3 linked regions of the Tamandua tetradactyla genome follow. The protein of the gene in region 1 purifies or fractionates together with the protein of each later gene. This does not show direct contact. Links are inferred from orthologs where the notes say so. Each region holds a gene or a part of one and is shown in the gene's direction. Other genes may lie near its edges.

Region 1 (7,048 bases):
TCTGAGGGCTTTTATAAGAGGTTAATCAAGCTCCAGGGGTACCCCACGGGGCATTCCAAGTCAGAAATCTATCTCCAAGAATTGGTATTCATAAGGAACTCTCTGTTCTGGAGAGAAGATAAATTTCTTAGGACTGGCTCCAATTAAACTCGGTAATATGAAAAGCAGAAATGTAATAAATGGGCCAATAATATATCTGGAATCCTAAATTCACTTATTCAATTAACAATATATATTGAACCAGACCCTGGCTGGGCTCTAAATAAAATGGGAAGCAAAATTACTTTACAACCACATGCTGGAATACTATATAGCCATATATAGTGTAACTCTATATTTACTGTCCTGGAAGATGTTCCTATGAAAGAGTAGATTATAACTAATATCATATTAAGAACCCATTAAGAATAGATTTCAGGAGAAAAAGTTCTACATCAAAATGTTACAGTGGCCATCTCTAGATGTTTTTATTATTATTATTACTTACTTGCATTTTTAAGTTTTTCTTCAATTCATATGCATTTACTTGCATGAAAACAGTAAATGAATGAAACAATGCTTTAAAAAAAAAAGGAAAAGTAAAAATTAAGTCTGATACTCTTTGAGACATTCTGATTTACTTCTGGCTGCAGCTTCCCCCTCTGAACATCCTCCACTGGAGCCAGCTTTTCTGGGTCACTTTTTAAAGTCCAGCCTTTCAGGCAGCAATGTTGGTGGACTGGAAGTCTGGAACAGCTGGGCTATAGTAGGCAGGGAGCTGGGCTACGAATATGAAATAGTATCTGAATTAGTCTCCAGGCTGTGACCCATAGCAGAACACTCATAAAATATGAAAAAATGACTTTTTGCATTCCAAAAATAATGCAGGATGCCAAATCTTAGGAGACAGCTTTGGTCTTAACAGTGAAATCTGGAAAAGGTACAGTGAATACAAACTTGAAAGATATGCTGCAAAGATTTATTTTGGCTGAGAACATTGAGTAGGTTTCGGCTGTTTTTGTGGCTATATTCTTTGTAGGTTAACATGAGCCAAAATATGGCATCTTACTGAGTATATTACTTACCAACAGTTCCTGGACGTGGCACCAAATCTGTCTTATTGCTATCTAAGGATTCAAAGAAGGCTCTATATCAGCCTTTCTAGCCTGTAGATAAAGATGCAGGATTTTGCAGTGAAGTGAGTGAGCGAGTGCTCTGGGGCACCGAGAGCTTTTCTCCCATTGCTTTGCAGTTTGGAAAGTTGCCATCCATTCAGGTTTCCTTCAAACAGGCTTTTTCCTGACCCCAGAGCAAATTGTAACCAGAAGCTCTCTGCTCTTTGTCAGGAGGCAATTGCAGCCCAGACCTAGGCAGGATCTTACCCTCTCCCCTCAAAAAAAGATTTCTCCTAAGTAAAAATCCTGGCTCCTCTTTTACCCAGGAGATGAGACCCTAGTTCTTTCCAGAAAGGGCCCAACTGTCTCAGGCTTTCTGTTGTTTTTACTGTTGTCCGGGTTACATCTGGGTCTCTGGATATCAAATCTTCCTGATGTCAGCGACTAAAAGGACTCAACAGTCTTCCTTCTTTGTTTCTCTTCCTGTTTAATCACTGCAAGTTTACTAAAGCAAAATAAATAGGATCCACTACCATTGTCCAATTAACTATTTGTGAAGCAACAAGAGTTAGAGATCCTAGAATCTGTAATCGAGAAATTAGGATTTAAGGGATGATTTTTTTCAGTTTTTTAAAATTAATTTTTAAATTAAAAAAATACAAAAAAACACATTCTTAATTTATGATCATTCCGTTCTACATATATAATCAGTGATTCACAATATCAGCACATAGTTGCATATTCATCATCATGATCATTTCTTAGAACATTTACATCAATTCAGAAAAAGAAATAAAAAGACAACAGAAAAAATTCATACATACCATACCCCTTACCACTCCCTTTCATTGATCACAAACATTTCAATCTAAATTTATTTTAACATTTGTTCCCTCTATTATTTATTTTTATTCCATATGTTTTACTCATCTGTTGATAAGGTAGATAAAAGGAGCATCAGACACAAGGTTTTCACATCACAGTCACATTGTGAAAGCTATATCATTATACAATCATCTTCAAGAAACATGGCTACTGGAACACAGCTCTACATTTTCAGGCACTTCCCTCCAGCCTCTCCATTACATCTCGACTAACAAGGTGTTATCTATTTAATGCGTAAGAATAACCTCCAGGATAAAGTTGGGGAAGTTGAATTTTCCTTAAGGGATGATTTTGATTATTGAGTCATTATATAGATATTCCTTTTTGCTTTCTGGAATATTGGAGTAGAGAGGAATGCTTGAAATCCCTATACTATAATTCGGCTGCCCTGATACCTGAAATGATTGCAAAGGCCCTTATTTTGTGCCTTTGTGACTGTAAGAGCTGTTATCCCCTTATCTGCTCATTTTCTTGTAAGGAAAAAGCCCTAAGACTAATGAAAAATTTGAAGTCAGCCATTAACTACTTTCAGCGTCTGACATCTGTAAATAGTATCAGTTAGACTCTGCTATTGAAAGATAACTTGTCTCCCTTCCCTTTGGCTTACACCTTTAGTAGTGACATGATAGTTCAGCCTTCCTTCCTTTCAGCTGTTTTTTTTGAAATTGTAATGACCTCAGCTCCCCTTACTAAAATTCTTAAAAATTTTGAACCCCCTAAAATTGGGGAGACAGATTTCGGGCCGCTAGACCATCTGTTCTCCTACTACACACCTAGTTATAAACTCTCTCTCTTGAAACCTGGTGTGTCAAGAATTGATTATTGAGTGCGTAAGGCAACAGAATCCACAGCCTTTATCCAGTAACAAACTTGTAGTGATTGCACAGAGTTTAATCCCTTGAAGAAAATTAAAGCCAGAAAGCATGGTTCCTATTTTGTGATCCTTTACTAGAGATCAACTTTCCTTCCTTTTACAGCAAAAAATACCTTTTACAATATTGCCCTTAAAACAATCCCATTGACTACAAAGCTGGTAATGGAACTGTTGTATATCTTTAATATGGTGGTGGTTGGGAGACTTTTTGTGGGTGTCGAAATTCATAAAACTATCCAGTGTAAAGGAGAAATTTTTACTGAATCTAAATTACACTTCAATAAAAAACACCAAAACAATCCGATTTAGTAACGCAGGTAAATGAGTAAGATACACTACTATAGCAGGACAAAAATGGTTACTTCTATGTTTACGTGTATATATGCATAAGGCGAGCAAGGAGTCAGGAGAATTTAAAACTGCATTTTGTTGATTCAGGAGATAATTGTTCCTTTAAAATTTTTATTTGTAACTGACGCTATGCATTTTAGAATGTACGTTTTAAAGCTTAAATATAGGAGCTTTTACATTTATAAAACTGTATGGAGCTACACTTAAGATTAGTTCATTTCTTCTTGTTAAACTGTACTTGAAATTTATTACTTTTCTGTATATATGTTATATTTCACAATAAAAATGTAAAAAAAAAGATTAGCTCACTTCAACTCTTTTCATTATAACTCAATAAAAAGTTTTTTTAAAAAGCTTTGAAAAAGTTCTAGGTGGTGGTCAGAGAGTATAATCAAATGAAAAAAATCATCCACTTAAAATGTGGGCAGTTCACCTTACCTTATATCTCAATTAATAAAAAAGAAATTGAAATTCTTCGCTGGCGGCGGCGTCTTGGGCGAGCAGTCAGGCCCGCCCGCTATCTGCTCATCTGAAAACACCCCCAAAACTGATCTCCAGGGCAGCACCTGACACTAGCAGTGCTCAGCTTCCTCGTGGTCGGCGGTCAAGATGCCAGCAGGGGGCCCCCGAGTTTCTCGGGATATCTCAAAGCCCGGCACAAAATCCCTCGGCTGTCCCTTTGGTCCAGCAACTCACCGGGACACAGCAGCCACAGGCCGCCCAGTAGCTCCACTCCCAGGAGGCCACCCTGACGTCATCGCCCCGCCTCCCGGCCTTTCCCGCCCCACCCTCTTTCCCGGCGTGCACCACGGCAGAGGCTCCTCGCCTTCGGCTTCTGCCTGTCGTCCCAAGATGGTGGACACAATGAGCAGGACTCGCGCCGGTTGGCCCTAAGGCGACCGGGAGAAGAAACCGTCTGCACGTCCCCGCAGTCCGGGCAGGAGAGTACTGCACGAGTAGAAAGAGAAGGCGGCTTGACTGTCGCCTGTCCTCTCGTTCGTCGCAGGCGCGGCGCCCGCTCCGCCCAGGTTGGCCCCTCGGCAGCCCGCCCGCCAGCTCGCCGCTGGGCCCCGCCCCAGCCCTGCGCCGCCGCCTCCAGCAGCCGCCGCCATGAAACTGACCGACAGCGTGCTGCGGAGCTTCCGCGTCGCCAAGGTGTTCCGCGAGAACTCGGACAAGATTAACTGCTTCGACTTCAGCCCTAACGGCGAGACGGTCATTTCGAGCAGCGACGACGACTCCATCGTGCTCTATGACTGCCAGGAGGGCAAGTGAGTGCGGCGCTGGCCCTGGGCCCAGGTTTGAGTCCCTCCAGTGGCCCGGCTCTCGCCCTGCGGCCTTCCCTCCTCCTCGACTTCGGCTCTTGGCCTATTTTGCACTCGCTGCTTACAGGGGCGCCTGCAACGTGCAGCCGTCCGGGAGACCTTTCCTTTTCCTTCGTCTTTATTATTATTGTTGTTGTCAGTGTTATTTTGTCTGTTTTCGGTCTCCTTTTAGAGCACTTCTGCATCTTTTACCGAACCCCACCTTGACCTTGACCTTTAAAACGCCCCATCCCGCCCCCAGCAGGTAGAGTTTTCCGCTACCCTGGTACTGTCGATGGTGCCCATTGGCTCTGGCCCAGACACTGAACCTCAAAGAACTACTCCAGCTTTATTCTAGAGCATCACCTCTCTCTGCCCTCTTCTCGGTGACCTCGATCCAGCCCCGGTAGTCCACCCATTCTCTGCCTCTCAGCTTCCATCGGCCTTTCTACCATAAGGCCGCGTGGGTGCAGTTTCTTAGCTGTCAGGATTTCATTTTGTAGTGCCTCTTTGGGCCCCGGTCCTTCCCTTCCACTTCCAAGCCATTCTGTTACTCCCTCGGACCCGGTGTCCACGCTTATACTGAACTTTTTAACATCTGAAACTTTTTCTTCCTTTCCTGTTATTTCTTTTTGCCATAACACCAGCGAACTTGGCCGTCCCATCCCAATCTGAATGTGAGCCTCCCGTTAGAACAAAGAAAGCATCGTATAACAGTTTCGTGTTTCCTCTCCCACTTTTTTTCGATTACACTTCGTGGTCCACATAGAATGATCAAAATTACTAGTCTGATCTTGCAACTTTTATGCTGCCCCAGATCCTCGGGCGACCCACCACACCTGCATCTCTTGCAAAATCTTAATAAGCACAGCACTTTGCATTCTTCCCTGGGGCACCTTTTCAGCCTGGCTTCATTCCTGTATCCTTGGCTTTCTCCAGATCTTACTGACTTGTGAGCTCCTTTGGAGCCTTAAGCTAAATTTTTGAGTTTCCCTCAGCCATCTTCCCCAAGCAGACTTACTTTTAAGTCGGTGGTTACTGGTTTTGTCAGACCTTGTTTTGTTATCTGGATCCAGATATTTCTTGAATCTTTGGATTTTTCTCTTTTCCAGGTGTTCCTTTTGCCTCTTTCTTTTTTAAACAGATATCCCTAAACTTTTCTTTTGGAACTTGTTTCTTCATTTCTCAATTTGATTATTTAAAGTAGTGCGGTTTTGGTCTACCTAATTTTTTTCCCACTGGTCCTTGTGAGAAAGTATTTTGTAATTGGTTCTGGATCTGCCTGCAGTGTATGGAAGAGTGCCTGCGGTGGTGATCCTGAGGGAGAGGGAATTGTTACCTGGACCATACTAAGTTATTTGAGTCAGTGTTACTCATTTAGTAGATGGATTTCTGTGCAGGCCTGACCATTAGAAGTCAGCTTGAAAGAGGGAGTTTCAAGCTGGGGTTGGGGTTGGGATTCTAGAGTCTGGAACTAGAAGTAATTTGAAGCTGGCTTGCCTGAAATGTTAATTGCTTGTACACAGATTAGAACCTCTCCCTGGTACCTGAGGATGGAGGTGTATTCTGATTCAAAGGTAATGAAGGCTGTAGTAGAATTTAGTTGGTCTCCGAATGTGGTAAAATTTCGAATTGTTGGGAGGGATGACAATGGCATGAAGTTCTGTCTTGTTAAAAGTAAAATGCCAACTTTATGACAATGCAATATATTCCCTCCTAGCATTTTTACATAATTACAAACTTAAAGAAAAGTTACAACATTGATCAGAGACCTCCCATTTGATCTACCAGTTGGTTACATTTGTTCCATTTGCTTTATCACTCTATGTAAATATTTGTTTGTATGCATATTTTTTCCTGGGCTATTAGAGAGTAAATTGAAGTTATCAGGCCCTTTTATCCTTAAACACTTCACCATGGATGGCCTCAGCACCAGGACCTTGTCTTACAGAGCTGGAGCACAGTTACCTAAATTAAGAAATGTAGTGTTGATACAGTACTATAGGCATGCTTTTGAAAATTTTCTCCCATCAAGCAATTGTGGCCTTGTTTCATTATACTCTGTGGCATCAGAAACCTGGTAGTTAGGAAACTTGGGTTCTAGTTTGGCCTTATGACCAGCCATGTAATGTTGGTGAAGTCAATATCAGACAACCATTGCTTCCAAGGTCTCTTTAGTCTCTAGGAATTCATGATCCTAAGAGGTAATGTGAAGAAAATTTTTGCCACTAGTGTAGGTTAAATCAACATTGGATGAAAAGTAATGTTTCTTGGGAAGGCATAGTATCTTTATTAGGTAGTACTAGTGTTAGAATTTGGGAGTTTGAAAATGGCTAAAATCAGATTCTTTGTGCTTAATATTTTCCAGTTTAATGTTCATTTAATCTTTGTTTACAGTGGAGTTCATCCATTGAGTAATTTTTCCAACTTCAAAGAATATAAAGGATATTGTTTGTGGTAGGTAGTACAAATTATTTAAAGAGAAGGCTTTTATATTATTGCCTTATACCTGATTACCAGAATCATAGTTTGAGGTTAGG
Region 2 (7,686 bases), on another chromosome or scaffold:
TTCTCCAAAATGTTTCCTCTTTTAAAGGATTCCAATAAACTATCGAGACCCATCTGGAATGGGTGGCGTCATATCTCCATATAATCAAAAGTCACACCTCCATGGAGGTAATGTAATCAAAAGATTCCAACCTACATTATTGAATCAGGATTAAAAGAAATGGCTATCTCCACAAGATGGAATCAGGATTAAAACGTGGCTTTTCTGGGGTTCATAATACTTTCAAACTGGCACACTTATCTAATCATACACTGGCTTGAGGCAGAACCAATCACAAAGTTTTTACAATTGCATCATCACAAGATAAAAGCTATATAATTATACAATCGTTATCAAAGATCAGGGCTACTGGATTGCAGCTCAAAAATTTCAGGTATTCCCTTCTGGCTATCCCAATATACCAGAAACTAAAAAGAAATATCTATATAATGATAGTAGTGATAATCATTTGTTAAATCTTAACTTCTCTGTTACAACCCCTCCCACTCATTTGATCAACCGTTCACTCTTCAGGGGTATTTGGGCAATGACCATTCTAAATTCTGTATGCTGAAAGGGGGTGACAACATTTTGGGATAGAGCAGTCCAATTAATGTACTTGTAGAGACTGGTACCTCTGGGTTTGAGGGCTTATCTGGTATAGGAATAATCTGGAGTTTTTAAGCTTCTGAAAAAAAAAAAGTAAGTAAAACTTTTATAGACCATAAAACACCATTCAGGTAGCATGTTTCAATCCTACACTTGCTATGCAGCCTGTAAGCCTTCATTTACAGGTTGTACAATGGGAAACCCTTATTCCCCGCCCATCTGCCACTTAGGCAAGAGCATCTGCCAGCAGATTTCAAGGAGTCTTTTTATATTTCCTACTTCACCCGAATGGGCCCTTTGCATTCCTCCAAAAAGGCACTGTGTCTTTACTGGGTCTGTTCACTGCTCCAAATTGTCAATTGGACAAGTAATCCTTCAACACTAGTGTGGAGGCTAATAAAGTGCAAGTATCATTACTACCGCTAGTAGGTTGATTACCACCCTTCCATAGATTCAGTTGGTTAGGTGACAACGAGCCCCTACACATTCCAACAGCTTGCCACACAGCAAAAGCAAGATCAGCATGGTGTCAGTTTTCTTCATTCCTAGTCTCATTCACAACATTGATTTGGAGGTGACAGATGATGGGGAGCCCAGGTGGTGGGTCACTCTGTTGCTAAAAAGCCAACTCTAGACTGCAGCCAGGTGCTTTTAGAGCCTGCAGCTATACCCACAGAGGAGGCAAGGTAGAAAGTTCCATACTCAGCTACTACTGTGTAGGTGAATGAGAAATGGCCTTGTCTCCCTTTGCTCTAGAAGGAACTCAGGGGATTCCATCAAGACTTGGTGAGATTGCAATTAAGCTTTATCTATTTGGCTTTATCTACTTTTGTAGAGTTGTGTAAGGTCATTGGGTTGCCATGGTGTATTTCCCTACAAAATATTAAATATTAAAACCAACCTTAAATTCCTGGGATAAAGCCCCACCTTGGTCATGGTGTATTAACCTTTTTATAAATTATTGGTTTCAATTTGCTAATATTTTGTTAACATCTTGCAGTTGGGTAAAGAATATAACTTTGCTCAAAACGTATTCTGGCTTTTGCCCGCAGCTTCCGGGAGGTGAACTCAAAACCCTTGGAATGTCATGCCTGAAAGGAGTGTCATTGTCTTCCTGGGGATCTTTTGTTACTGGAGTCTAATTATGAAATTTAGATGAGGGCTGGTGACACTAAGAGGTCTTAGGGTGAGGACTGCCCAACAAAAAGTCCAACAATATGATTTAGGGCTGAGGGCTTTGGGTCACATGGTATTAACTTGACCTGCTAAGGGGAACATGGGCAGTGAATCATGCCTACATGATTGAGGCCCAATAAACACTCTGAACACCACAGTTCAGTGAGCTTCCCTTGTTCACAATATTCCATTTGTATTTCCATATATTGTTAACACTGTCCATGGCTCCACAAGGACAGCACAGCTAGAAGCTCTGCATTTGGAACCCTCTTGGACTCTGCTGTATGCACTTCTTTCTTTGGATGAGTTTTTTATTTTTTGTATACTGTATGGTGGGGATCATATTTCATTCTTTTTCCATGTGACTATCCTGTTATTGCAGTACCCTTTGTTGAATTTTGGGAGGGGCATGGGGGTGGTGAGTGCATGGGCCTGGAATCAAACCTGGGTCTTCTGCATGACATATCAGATTTTCTATTTCTTCATGAGTTAATTTTGTTAAGCTTTTTCAAAAAATTTGCCCATTTTACATATGTAGTCAAATACATTGCATTAGGTTTGCATAGATATGTGAATAACATTCCAGTTTAGCATCTGTTGGACCTGTACTGATGGCTTCTTTCTTATTATTGTGGGTCATTTTTTCACATTGTTTAATAAAATAAATCACATTTAAAAGTTACACTTCAAAAATACATTAATTGAACTTAAATGTAGTTAATTAATTACATGAAATTAATATTTATTAATTTATTTTAATTTACTGGATTAGGTGAATTTGAATTAAAATATAAATGTGATAAATTAAATAAAGCCAAATTGAAATTAAATGATACATGTCATTAAATTTAATAATTAAATGAATATAAAATATAGTAAATTAAACTTAATCAATCCCAAAGTAATTTGGGCTGTGAATAAAGAAGTATTTGCAAAGTCCCCTTGGGGGAATGGGTGGAAAGGAGGAAATATTCAACTTCCTCATTTGGAGACTCTGATATTCTCACAAGCAGTAGGGACAACCAAATCAATAGGCCAAGCTCTCCATCTTGGGGTTTGCCCCTATGGAAACTTTATTCCTGCAAATCCTACTTAAAATTAGGCATTTAAGAATCACGTTCAGAGACCCTCTTTTTTTTGCTTAGATGTGTCCTCTCTCTCTCTCTAAGCCAACTCAGCAGGTGAACTCACTGCCCTCCCTTCTACATGGGACATGACTCTGAGGCATGTAAATATCCCCAGCAATGTGAGACAGAAATCCCAAATGAGCCAGGACTCAGTATCAAGGGATTGAGAAAGCAAAAGGGGGAAGAGAGAAATGAGACAAAATAAAGTTCGATGACTGAGAGATTTCAAACAGAGTCAAGAGGTTATCCTGGAAGTTATTCTTCTGCATTATATAGGTATTCCTTTTTAGTTTATGGTGTATTAGAGTGGCTGGAGGGAAGTACCTGAAACTGTTGAGCTTTGTTCCAGAAGTCTTGATTCTGGAAGACAATTGTATAAAGATATTAATTTTTTCAATGTAACTGTGATTGTGAAAACCTTGTGTCTGATGCTCCTTTTATCCAAGGTATGGACAGACTAGTAAAAAAATATGGATAAAAAAGTGAAGAAAGAATAGGGGCGACAAAGGGTAAAATAAATTGGGTAGATGGAAAATACTAATGGTCAATGCGAGGTGTATTGGATGTATGAGTTTTTTCTTTTTTTTTTCCTGCAGTGATACAAATGTTCTAAAAAATGATCATGGTGATGAACACATAACTATGTGATGATATTGTGAGTCACTGATTGTACACCATGCATGGAATGTATGTGTGTGAAGATTTCTTAATGAAAATATTAAAAAAATAAAATTGTTAAATTAGATTAAATTTAAACATTGACTATATTCCCTTAATTTTATTTTGATACATCAACTGGTAATTAAATTAAAATTATATACAATTTATTAACAAGTACATTACAGGAATAAAAACTGAATTATATTACAATATTTAATCCATTACATGAAAAAGTAAATCTAAGAAGTTAAATTAAGTTATATTAATTAAAATAAATTACAATCAAGTTAAGATTAATTAAAAATTAATTAGTAAAGTAAAAATGAGGCAAGTCTTATGCCGTAGATGTAGGACTGTTTTATGGATAAAAATTTCTTTTACAAGGAGAAGGTCCTAGAGCCCATGTTGTAGCCCCTGTACCTTGGTATCTGTGACTGTGTGGAGGGAAATGTGAGGAAGAATGTTTGGGAAAAATAAACAAATCTGACCCCTTGATCCATGAGCCACAGAATGGATTATCAGTAGTAACTCATGTCCAAAGTCACGAAATCCAGAAAAATGTCAACCAAGGTCAAAACATTTATATTCCCTCGATCCCTTCGACCTGAAATAAGGCATAGCATGTCCTTCCCAAGTTTGAAGGGGGATGGATAGAGACTCCAGAATCCTGCGTACAGAGCTCTCAGTCACTTTCCATGGTCACACGGATTAGATCTTTATCCCCATTTCACAGGTGAGTAGACTTCTAGTTCTCTGACCTGTACAAAACAAAAATTTTTAACAACAAATTAATGAACATAATTTATATGAGGAAAAAAAAAACCCACGGGAGAGAATATCGGGACATCCCAATGCAACAAGTGAATCAAAGTGGACATCACCAGGAACCCGGCAAATCTCCATTTTAGGGGTGACGGGAAGAGGATTTAGTGGGGTCTGAAATCTCAAAATCTACTCCGGCTGAGGTGATTTCTTACCAGGGTCCACCGACACGACTGTTTGTGGTCTTTCTTCATTGCTCGTGACTGATCCTGAGCCGAGGGATGAGAACTCCTGCACGCTCATGAGATAAGAGCGTAAAGAGTTCAAGGGTCCAGAGGCTGAACCGCGTACAGTTTGTCTGATGAACAGCAAGGAGTAGGAGTGAAAGGGGGAAGTTAGTGTGGGAGGTGAAGTCAGAGACATAACAGGGAAGACTGGTTTCCTTCGCAGAGCCAGACACGCAGCCTGCAGCTTCCCTATGAATATATGTGCAAGGTAAAAGTTATTGAATGGAGAAATTAATGAAAGGCTTGATCCTGATAACCTTTCGGGAGGAGCCGCTTTACCTGTGAGCTGCTCTGCCACCCGAACCGCGCGTCTACGGCACCAACCGCCAAGATGGCCGGGTCTTCGCGGAAGCCTCGCTTGGGCGTCGCCATGTTGCTTGAGAACGTACGATTCGGCCAAACTACGGAATCAAACGTCAAGATGGCGGCATCTGCTAGGATGTCGCGCAGTAAGTGCGGCCATCTTGCTTACTAACGTTGACGTACTACCCGCGGCCGCCGTACGAACACTACAGACAAGGTGGCGGCGCCTACGTAAAAACAGAAATGTATACGCGGTCATGAATATTGCGAACGTAGGGACACGGCGACCGTACGGATTCGATAGTAAAGATGGCGGCTCCAGAGAAACATTAGGGGCTCTTAGCGGGCGGCTAACTTGTTTGCCCCAGAGCAACCACACAGAGCCTGCGCAGTAGTAATACGTTGTCGGAGGAGCGGCCAGAAGCGGAAGTGGTTTTGGGCGCGTCTGCAACGGCCGGTGACGCTGTGGAGTGTTCTGTGCAGATTCGTAGGTTGTTGGCTAGGTTCGCGTGCGTGTACACCAGGAGCTGAGATATGGTAAGTAGGGGTTCCTTTGAGGTGTTCGGCGGTAGGGTTTGGTAAACTTGGTAATGGTCAGGTTCATCAGCAGACGCACGGGGGTCTGGGGTGAGCCATTAACAGTGGACTGTGGGCAGAACGATGGGGTTCGCTGATGGGAGGTTAGTAGGAATGTCTGGGGGTAATTCCGTGGGGAACCGTGATAGGGGCGTTCTATGAGAAGAGTAGTGGGGGAGTTTGTGATGAGTTGTTGGCGGTCCGTAAGGAACCGTGATAAGTCTTGTGGTGAGTTGTGTCAGGGGGAGCTGTGATGGGGACAGGGACTCTGGAAGATCTGTGGGAAACCATGAGGGGGGGAATCTATGGGGTAAGTCATGTTTTTGATGATCAATCACGGGGGCCTGTGGGTAGTCACCATGGGGAGTGTGTGTGGTAAGTGATAAAGTATTTGCAATGAGCCCTTATGAGGTTCTGTAGATAGAGTGATAGGGTGTCAGTGGAGTAAGCGATGGGAGGTCTGGGACAGAGTGATGGGGGACTTATAAGCAGAGAAAGGGGTTGTCAGGGGACGAGTGATGGGGGAAGTCTGTGGGGACCATGATGGAGAGATTTATGGAGAACTGTGATGGGAAGTCTGTGGGCAGAGGGATGGGGACCTGTCTTAAGCCATAATGGAGCCATGATGGGGGAATGTGGCACCATGATGGGGGTTCTCTGAGGAGCCATAATGGTCTCACAGGAGGGAGATGGTTCAGATCCTGAGCCTCCAGATGCTGGTGAGGACAGCAAGTCAGAAAATGGGGAGAATGCCCCCATCTACTGCATCTGCCGTAAGCCAGACATCAACTGCTTCATGATGTGAGCCAGGGAGAGGCGGGTGGCGCTGATGCCTGTGGAGGCTGGGTGAGATCAGTGGAGTGGGACCCTCACACCTCCATTACCGACTCCATCCTCTGCAGCGGATGTGACAATTGCAATGAGTGGTTCCATGGGGACTGCATCCGGATCACTGAAAAGATGGCCAAAGCCATCCGGGAGTGGTACTGTCGAGACTGCCGAGGTGAGGGGGGTGGGGATGGACAGGCAGGTGGGGCTACAGGGAGGAGGAGGGAACCATAATGTTGGGGGAGGGAGTGTCACAGGGAATAGTGATGATGTGGGCAGAATGATTGTGGGTTTATGGTGAACTGGAGTGGGGTTTCCATTGAAAGCCATAACAGAAGGTCCCACAGAGGAGTGCAGGTCTTCCTTGGAGCAGGATAACAGAGCTATTGGGTGGGACGGAAAGAGAAGAAAAAAGAAGAAGGAGTTCTGGGACCATCCAAACCTCCCAATGCCTACTGGTCTTAGCCCTGCCCTCCATCTCACAGAGAAAGACCCCAAGCTGGAGATCCGATATCGGCACAAGAAGTCTCGGGAACGGGACGGCAGTGAGCGTGATGGCAGTGAGCCCCGGGATGAGGGTGGAGGGCGTAAGAGGCCTGTCCCGGATCCAGATCTGCAGCGCCGGGCGGGGTCTGGGACAGGGGTCGGGGCCATGCTTGCTCGGGGCTCTGCTTCGCCCCACAAAGCCTCTCCACAGCCCTTGGTGGCCACACCCAGCCAGGTGAGTGGCTGTGGTGGTTGAGACGGGTAAGGTGGTCCCATCTCAGGTCCTGCCTGGGTTCCTGATACCTGTTCTGGGTATTTTCCACCAGCATCACCAGCAGCAGCAGCAGATCAAACGGTCAGCCCGCATGTGTGGTGAGTGTGAGGCATGCCGGCGTACTGAGGACTGTGGCCACTGTGACTTCTGCCGGGACATGAAGAAATTTGGTGGCCCCAACAAGATCCGGCAGAAGTGCCGGCTGCGCCAGTGCCAACTGCGGGCCCGGGTGAGCATGGGCAGAGCTGGCCAGGGTCAGTGGTATGGGGACAGTGTTCCAGGAGGCTAAGAATGGGTGGGCCAGGTCGGGTGGGGTCTGTTTGTATCCAGGCAAGTGAGAAGGAGCTTGGCATGTCCAAATTGATGTGGCATGACCAGGTGTGCTGGGCTGGTAGCAGGGTCCCCCCTCCCCCCAGTCTTGGGTATGTTTGAGTGGGTAGGTGGGACCAGGTATTTCTAGGTGTTTGAACTGTCAGGGCAATTGGAACAGGGTTGAGCATGTCTTGGTGGGAGGGCTGGAACCAGTTATGTCTGGGGAGGCAAGGCAGAGCTAGGTGGGTGGGACAGGCACTTGTGGGAGGGGGCTAGGGTGGGGCCACCCCCTATCCACCTGGGGCTG
Region 3 (7,069 bases), on another chromosome or scaffold:
GCAGCAGGCGGCGACTCATCTGCATTTCCAAAGACCCGCCCTGTCCGCATCCCCTCCCCCAGAAAGGGCCGGAGATCTAAGGGTTTACCCCAGAGCCCTCCGCCTGGGGGGGGATCCCGGGGAAGGCCCGCTCAGCTTTCCCAAGCCCCAACCCCCACCTCCAGCCTAGAGGGCCGGGTTGGTGAGATGGCCCCAGGGCGTCTGCGGCCACCGCAGGGGCCTCAAGCTCAAAGTGAGAACCAAGCAGGAGAACTGACCCCGCCGGCTAGGCTTATCAGGGGGCGACAGGGTGCCAGGGCATGGGCGCGAAGCCCGAATAGGCAGACGCGGGTTGGGAGAGGGAGGGCTGCGGCCAGAGCAGGGCCGCGGGGGAGGCTCCTAGGCCTCCGGAGAAGCCGGTAAGGGTCAGGGGGCGGCTGCGAGGCCCCGAGCGGCCCCGTGGCCCTTTGCTACTGGTTCCCGCGCCGGAGGGAGGAGGGAAAGCCGCCGGGGCCTGGCCTGGGGAGGAAGCCTCCTCGTGCCCGCCTTGGGGCCTCCGAGTCGGGGTGGGGGGTGGGCTGCCAGGAGACTGGGGGCGTCCGTCGTCGAAGCTGGGCCCCCCTCCGCCGGGAGCGCGGGGCTCTGCGGCCTCCCCGGGCCCCGGGCGTCCACGCGCTCTGCCTCCCCCCTCCCCCCGGGCCGCGGCCGCCTCCTCCCGCCTGGCGCGCAGCGGCCGCCACCGCCCGAACTGCGGGCGGCGCGCGAAATGGCGCCCGTCTGGCCGCCTAGCCCCGCGGAGGCGAACGCAGGAGCCGCCTCACGACGCCCCGGAGGCCCGCGCCCCCCGAAACGACCCCCGCGACGCTCCCGGGCCCGAACTCCGGCGCCTGCGGGCTCTCGGGGTTCGGCCGGGCCAAGGACGCGCCTCCTGCCCCGGGCTCCCAACGACGACCAGGGAAGGAGAGAGGAAGGAAGACGAGAGCTGGCCGCCATTAGCCGCTCGCAACCCTGCCCAGCCGGGCCCGCCCGCCCGCCTCAGCCCCAGCCCCAGCCCCAGCCCGCGGCCCTGCTCGAAACCTGAAAATAAAACTGGTGTTGGGGAGGGAGGAGCGAGCGCGGCCGGGAGAACAGGCTGCGCTGGGGCAGCAGGCGGGAGAGATGCTGCGTCATGCTGCCAACATGGACGCCGGCCTTTTGTCCTGTTTTTGGTTAGGAAGCCCAGGCGCGCCCGGAGCCCCGAAAAGCGGGCTTCGGAGGGCGAGACCCCCACAACCAAAAGAAAGAGGCCCCTAGGCTGGGCGGGCAGGTTTCCTCGTCTTTTGAGCTTACCCCCCCAACCCCCAATCTCCAAGAACTTCAATTTTTCTCTCCCCCACCAAGACTCAAATCTGGGACGAGAGAGGTGGATGCCCCGAGGGTCGCGGGGGAGACCCTCTTCTCGCCTCCGGGCCAAAAGGGGAAAGGGGTCTGCACAGCCCTCCTCACGACACACACCCCCTCCCACGCGCCGGCTGCCAAACCCATAAAGCTCCAGAAACCGTCTCCCCTCAGCTCCCAAACAGTTGTAGCCCGTGGCCTGTTCGACAAAAGGATTTCCTCGAAGTGGCAAAAGGCACTGGGGTTTTCTGTTGTTGCTGTCGTTTGTTCTTTTACTTACCCGCGCAGCCCGGTGCCATGGAGTCTGGAAGATCAACCTGGGCGGTGGTTTTGGAGGTGTTATTGTAAAAAAATATATATCTGGCTTTTTTTCTGGGTTTAGTTGGGAAAACTTGGGGGAACTGGTGGTGTCTTTTTTTGTTGTTACCTTTTAGTAAGTTACACTCTCATGCATTTTCTGCTCCTTCCACTTCTGCAAACTTTCCAGGGTTAGGTTGGCAAAAGGCGGCTTCGCTGAGGACTGTTTACTGCTCTGGATATAGCAATGGTGTGCTCATCATTAAGAGACAAAAGGCGAAAATACACAGTCAAATCAAACAAAAGGTAAAAGACGCACCAGCCAGCCCAACCACCCTAGAAAATACCCCCGAGTTAACGCTGGTATTTGGCTGGAACCAGCTAGGACTTGTTTTCCAGTTTTAATCTAGTTTCCTGTGACGGCTTTAGTCTCTCTACACAAAGAGAAGGTCTTCCTTTCCTTCGCCGCCCCCCCTCCCCCAAAGACGAGAAAAACAGAGCTGTTTTTCTTCAAAAAGATCGATTTTCAAAGAAAGTGTACATGTTAATGGGAAGAAAGCTGACTAGCACGTATTGTTGTAAACATTTTCCAAAGCTCAAAGCCAAAACCTTAGCTTCATCAAAGCAAAATCGTCTAAAAGCATTTTAACTGGCTTATATTAGACATGAAACAAAGACAGACATGCAGATGAAGTTTCAGAAATTAAGGACATCTCAGCAACATTAACATGAAAACTGCACTGCGTAAGGACAGAATGGATTGGGTACTTACAATGTAAAAGGTTTTTAAAAAACTTAAAAAAAGAGTAACGACTGCTCACAATTTTTTTGTTGCTGCCATTTCACTAATCCTAAAACTATACATTTAAAACATTACCTTGTTAAAAAAAAAAAAAGAAAAGAGAGCAGAAGGAGTTAATAAGATGGCCAGTTTTAAGTGTTTAATAGAGGAAACTACGTATTTAAAAATTTATTGTTCAGTCAAGAGAATACAGATTAAGACAGCTCCAAGCTCCCCCCACCCCCACCCAAGAAAAAAAAAGAGGAAAAAAATTAAATATGTCATTTACTTAGGTTTTTTGGAATTCAAGATTGTTAACTGCTGAACATTAGTGGTGTGCTATGACCTAGTTATACAAGACAAAGATGGATTCCAAGTCATAAGGAAAAATCCAGATCTTTTTAAAAAGTCTTCTTCATCCTTCCAAGTGTGAGTCCTTTAGCTTGTTGACAAATGTTAAAACACCACATTGAGGCGTCCTGAACTGGATGGTGGAGTCAAAGGAGAAGCATTCCCCATTTGCAACAAAGGAAAAACCCACTTGGCCATTTAATTCCATTGCAGAAAAATGGCTCCCTCATCTTGTTGGCCTCTCCTTGGTGTCTGATGAAGGATGTTTTGAGATCAGCGTCTAATAACTCAAGCCCTATAGAAGCCGCGCGCTGATTGGCTGCCGCGCCCTGCCGCCCTGCTCCAGCCAATTACCTACCCACGGCCAAATTACAAACCCCGAAAAGAGCCCCAATATGCGATCCGCCACCGCGAAGCCCCGGTGAGGCGGCTCCTTCCCCCCGGCCGCCCGAGAGGAGCGGCAGAGGGGGCTGCAGACGCGTCCTCGCGAAGCCCGGGAGCCTCGGAGTTGAACTCACAAAATGGAAGCCGCGCGCTGATTGGCCGCCGCCACTCCCGGCCCTTTAATAAAGAAAGGGGGAAGGCAAAGACAAATGCAGAGAAGGGGGACGCTTCTTCGCCTCTGGAGGGAGAAGTGGGGTGGGGGGTGGGGGAAGCATGTGTTCGGGACAATTACAGGGCGCTCTCCTCCAAAAATAAAAACACAGACGCTCCTATCACCCAGGTCCAGGCGAGGGCTGCATCCTCCCGGGAAGGGGAATGCTAATCTGGCTGGAATCCGGGCTTCCCCCTCCCCAGCCCCAGCCCCGCTCCTGAGGGAGGGGTCGCGGGGCCCAGGAGGCGGCCGGAGCGGAGATCCTCGATTGCAAACTCGCCTCGAGTCGACGTCGGCCTCCACCCCACCAACCCCCCCCTCCGCCCCACGGCTCCAAACAATCACCCACACACACACACACACCCAGCCCCGGCCCCCGAGTCCACGCGCACCCGCCGCCGGCCCCGGCAGTTTAGAAACAGTTTTGGAGGCCCGAGATGCACGCCGCGGCCCCGACGGCCGCCCGGGCCACGGGAGGCTCAGCCCGCGGAGACCCCCCTCCCCCGCAGCCGAGCCCCCCACCTAAGTCCCAGCAGAATAAATAAATTAAAAGGCCTTCCCCCCGGGGAGGGGGGAGGCAGTGTGGGAGCGCGCGAGTGAGGGGTGGGGGGCCGCCGGGGCCCGGGGCTTTGGCGGCGCAGCTGCCGCCGCCGGGAGAGTGCCTGGGGAAGCGGCGAGGAAGGCGAGGGGAGGAGGAAGAGGAGGAGGAAGAGGAGGAGGGTGAGCGCTCGGGTCGGGCTCCTTAGCGGTGTATTGTGGGATGTGCGGCTACTGGGAGCCGAGCCTCCGCCGCCAGCCGCCTCCCGGGCAGCAGCAGCAGCAGCAGCGGCGGCGGCGGCATCAGCTCCGGCCCCGGCAGCCGCGGCGGCGGCGTCCCCCCCACCCCGGCCCCCCGTCCGGCCGCCCCGGCCTCGGCTCCCGCGGGGGACACCATGTACTGGCTGGCGGCGCAGGGAGGCCGGCGCCCGGCGGGGATGTAAGCGCGGCTCCGGGAGGGGGAGGCCGCGGGCGGCAGCCGGGCGGCGCGAGCCCCCAGCCCCGGCCCGAGCGGGCGGCGCCAGGCCTGCCGCGAGCCCCGCGCCCGAGCCGGGCCCGAGCGAGCGAGCGAGCGCGCGCCACGCCGGGCGGCCGGGCGGGCACCATGGGCCGGAGCCCGCGTCCTCCGGGCGCCCCGGGCCGCGCCGGCTCGCTCGGGGGGCCCCCGGGACCCCCTCGCTGCCGACCGGAGACGGTGGCCGAGCGGGCGGGCGCTTAATCCTCCCGGAAGGTTGAGTCTGTCTCTTCATCCTTCTTTTGGGGGGGCGCAAGCGAGATAGCGCCTTTTGGGGCGCGCTGGTAAGGTGGGAGGGGGTGGGGGCTCGGGGGGCTGGTGATTTCGCGTGTGTGTGTAAGAAGCGGCCGCCGCCGCCGCCGCCACGGCGGAGACGACAACAACTTGCTGGTTTTCAGGTTGGGTTAACGGCATGGAGAACAGTCACCCCCCCCACCACCACCACCAGCAGCCCCCGTCGCAGCCCGGCCCCTCGGGCGAGAGAAGGAACCACCATTGGAGAAGTTACAAGTTGATGATTGACCCGGCTCTGAAAAAGGGGCACCATAAACTGTACCGCTACGATGGGCAGCATTTCAGCTTGGCGGTGAGTGTCCGGCGCGCCTCCCCGCCCCCCCCCACCCCCCACTCCGCAGCCATGGGGACAGAGGGGCCCCCGAGCCACCCGGGGAACCCCTCCCGACCACGGGGCCAACTGTCAGCCGGGTCCCGGGTCCCGGAGTTTGACAAGTGCCAGGAGAAGGGGGGGGTCTGCCCCCTGCCCCTGGGGAGGGGACCAGCCCTCCCATTCCCCACCCCCCACCCCTGTCCCCCGCTTCCTTCCCCACAGATGTCCAGCAACCGCCCAGTGGAAATTGTCGAAGATCCCCGGGTCGTCGGGATCTGGACCAAAAACAAGGAGCTGGAGCTGTCGGTGCCCAAATTCAAGGTAGGACCCCTCCCCTTTGCCCCCTGGCCTCTCCCCTCCTTCCCCCCCCCACCGCTCTTCCCCCCCCCCCCCCCCCCCGAGTTCGAAAATAACGCCAGTCCTGACCCAGCCCAGCCGGATTCGGAGTTCCCGCTGTCCCGGGCAGGGGAGGTTTTGGCGGGGAAGGGGAGGTGGCTGCCCAGAGCGGTGTCCCCTCCGGGATACTGTAAACAGAATAGCACTCGGGGAAACTGTAACGAGGGCGCTGATACAGTGTCCCGCCCGGCCGGGGGGCTCCGGGTCCCCACCTGGCTCCCGCCAGCCCTGGGACTCAGCCCAGGGACCCGCCCCCCTTCCCGGCCCAGAGACTCTCAGAGGTCAACTTCCCAACCCAGGGGGTCGCCCCTGACCCGGGTCGGGGAGAGGAGGCCAGAATGGGGGGGTGGGGAAAGAGAAACTGTTTCTTTTTCCCCTTTCCTTCCGAACCCTGAGGACTTCCACGTTCCAAACGATTTAATGCTTTGCTTCCCGGGCCCGCCCGCGTGCATTTTTTTTTTTAAGAAAAAAATTTATTTTTTACCCTTCATTGTTTTCAACGAGCGGGCGAGTGGGAAATGTTGTGTTTTCCTTTCGGTTCCAATATTCTCCGACTCCCTACCCCCTCATCCCCTCCCAGATCGATGAGTTCTACGTGGGCCCGGTGCCTCCGAAGCAGGTGACATTTGCCAAGCTGAATGATAACATCCGAGAAAACTTCCTGAGGGACATGTGCAAAAAGTATGGGGAGGTGGAGGAGGTGGAGATTTTGTACAACCCCAAGACCAAGAAGCATTTGGGCATTGCCAAGGTGGTCTTTGCCACGGTCAGGGGCGCCAAGGAGGCCGTTCAACACTTGCACAGCACTTCTGTCATGGGCAACATCATCCACGTGGAGCTGGACACGAAAGGTGAGTGGAGGCCGGTGAGTGGAGGCCGGCTTGGGCCTGCCCATGGGGAGGAGCCACCGGGAGTCCTGTTGCAGTGGCCCCTGTGCCTCATGGGGCCCTGGGTCTGTACCGTGCCCCCACTGTGGCCCTTTTTATTTTTTTTGCACCCCTCCCCTCCCCCCAGGGTAGAGTCACGTGTTGCTAAATGTGTTGTCTGTTGCTAGGAGACAGGCTATAATTTACCAAATGTGCCGGGCCTTGGCCGCTGTGCCCCTGGGGACCATCCGGAGGCATCCCCACTGCGGGCACCCCGGCGGGCCCTCCCGGAGCCCTGGTGGCTTCAGTTTAGACAGTCCCCAGCGTTGCTGCCTGTGTTAGGGGAGGAGGCAGAGTTTGTTTATTTGTGGGGGGACTGAGGGAGGCCACGAGGGTGCCTTCAAATGAATAGAAAAGCCCTCAACTAAAAAGAGAGCCCTCTGAGGACTCAGGGTGTCCCCCCACCCCCACCCCAAGCTGTAGGAACCAATCTGGGCCAGGAGTGTCTTTTCATTGATAAGGTTTCCAGCCATGCGGGGCGGGCAGCTCTGGGTGCTCGGGGCTGACATTGTGTCTTCCCTCCTCTTTCTTAAAGAGACAGCAGCACCTCCCCTGCCCTGGAACCTGGCTCTGCTCTCCTTGACTGGCTGAGGCAGGCTGCTGGGAAAGCCAGGCTGAGGAGGCATACCCCTACCCCCAGGGTCCCCGGAGACTCTTCCTGGGTGCTGGTTAGAGGGGCTCAAAGGACTCTAGAACATCCCCTGAAGTT

Evidence for each region. Proteins that work in one complex are often made in the same cells at the same time.
Region 2: the proteins of WDR82 (region 1) and CXXC1 purify together in Homo sapiens (affinity purification with western blotting; 7 studies listed by BioGRID and IntAct, with this or other methods). This does not show direct contact. The link is inferred for Tamandua tetradactyla from reciprocal best matches to the Homo sapiens genes WDR82 and CXXC1.
Region 3: the proteins of WDR82 (region 1) and SETD1B purify together in Homo sapiens (affinity purification with western blotting; 4 studies listed by BioGRID, with this or other methods). This does not show direct contact. The link is inferred for Tamandua tetradactyla from reciprocal best matches to the Homo sapiens genes WDR82 and SETD1B.

The regions. Positions count from the first base shown.
Region 1 is NC_135341.1:33,592,561-33,599,608, forward strand, and holds the start of WDR82 (WD repeat-containing protein 82), read left to right. Parts: upstream 1-4,001; 5' UTR 4,002-4,314; coding exon 4,315-4,475; coding exon of another isoform or gene 4,476-4,503; intron 4,504-7,048. UniProt on the Homo sapiens protein: Regulatory component of the SET1/COMPASS complex implicated in the tethering of this complex to transcriptional start sites of active genes.
Region 2 is NC_135344.1:32,372,790-32,380,475, forward strand, and holds the start of CXXC1 (CXXC-type zinc finger protein 1), read left to right. Parts: upstream 1-4,655; 5' UTR 4,656-5,437; coding exon 5,438-5,440; intron 5,441-5,466; exon of another isoform or gene 5,467-5,583; intron 5,584-6,161; coding exon 6,162-6,280; intron 6,281-6,381; coding exon 6,382-6,482; intron 6,483-6,792; coding exon 6,793-7,028; intron 7,029-7,119; coding exon 7,120-7,296; intron 7,297-7,686. UniProt on the Homo sapiens protein: Transcriptional activator that exhibits a unique DNA binding specificity for CpG unmethylated motifs with a preference for CpGG.
Region 3 is NC_135331.1:10,116,883-10,123,951, reverse strand, and holds the start of SETD1B (histone-lysine N-methyltransferase SETD1B), read left to right. Parts: upstream 1-4,038; 5' UTR 4,039-4,100; intron 4,101-4,251; exon of another isoform or gene 4,252-4,356; intron 4,357-4,568; exon of another isoform or gene 4,569-4,715; intron 4,716-4,829; 5' UTR 4,830-4,843; coding exon 4,844-5,017; intron 5,018-5,260; coding exon 5,261-5,359; intron 5,360-6,014; coding exon 6,015-6,285; intron 6,286-7,069. UniProt on the Homo sapiens protein: Histone methyltransferase that catalyzes methyl group transfer from S-adenosyl-L-methionine to the epsilon-amino group of 'Lys-4' of histone H3 (H3K4) via a non-processive mechanism.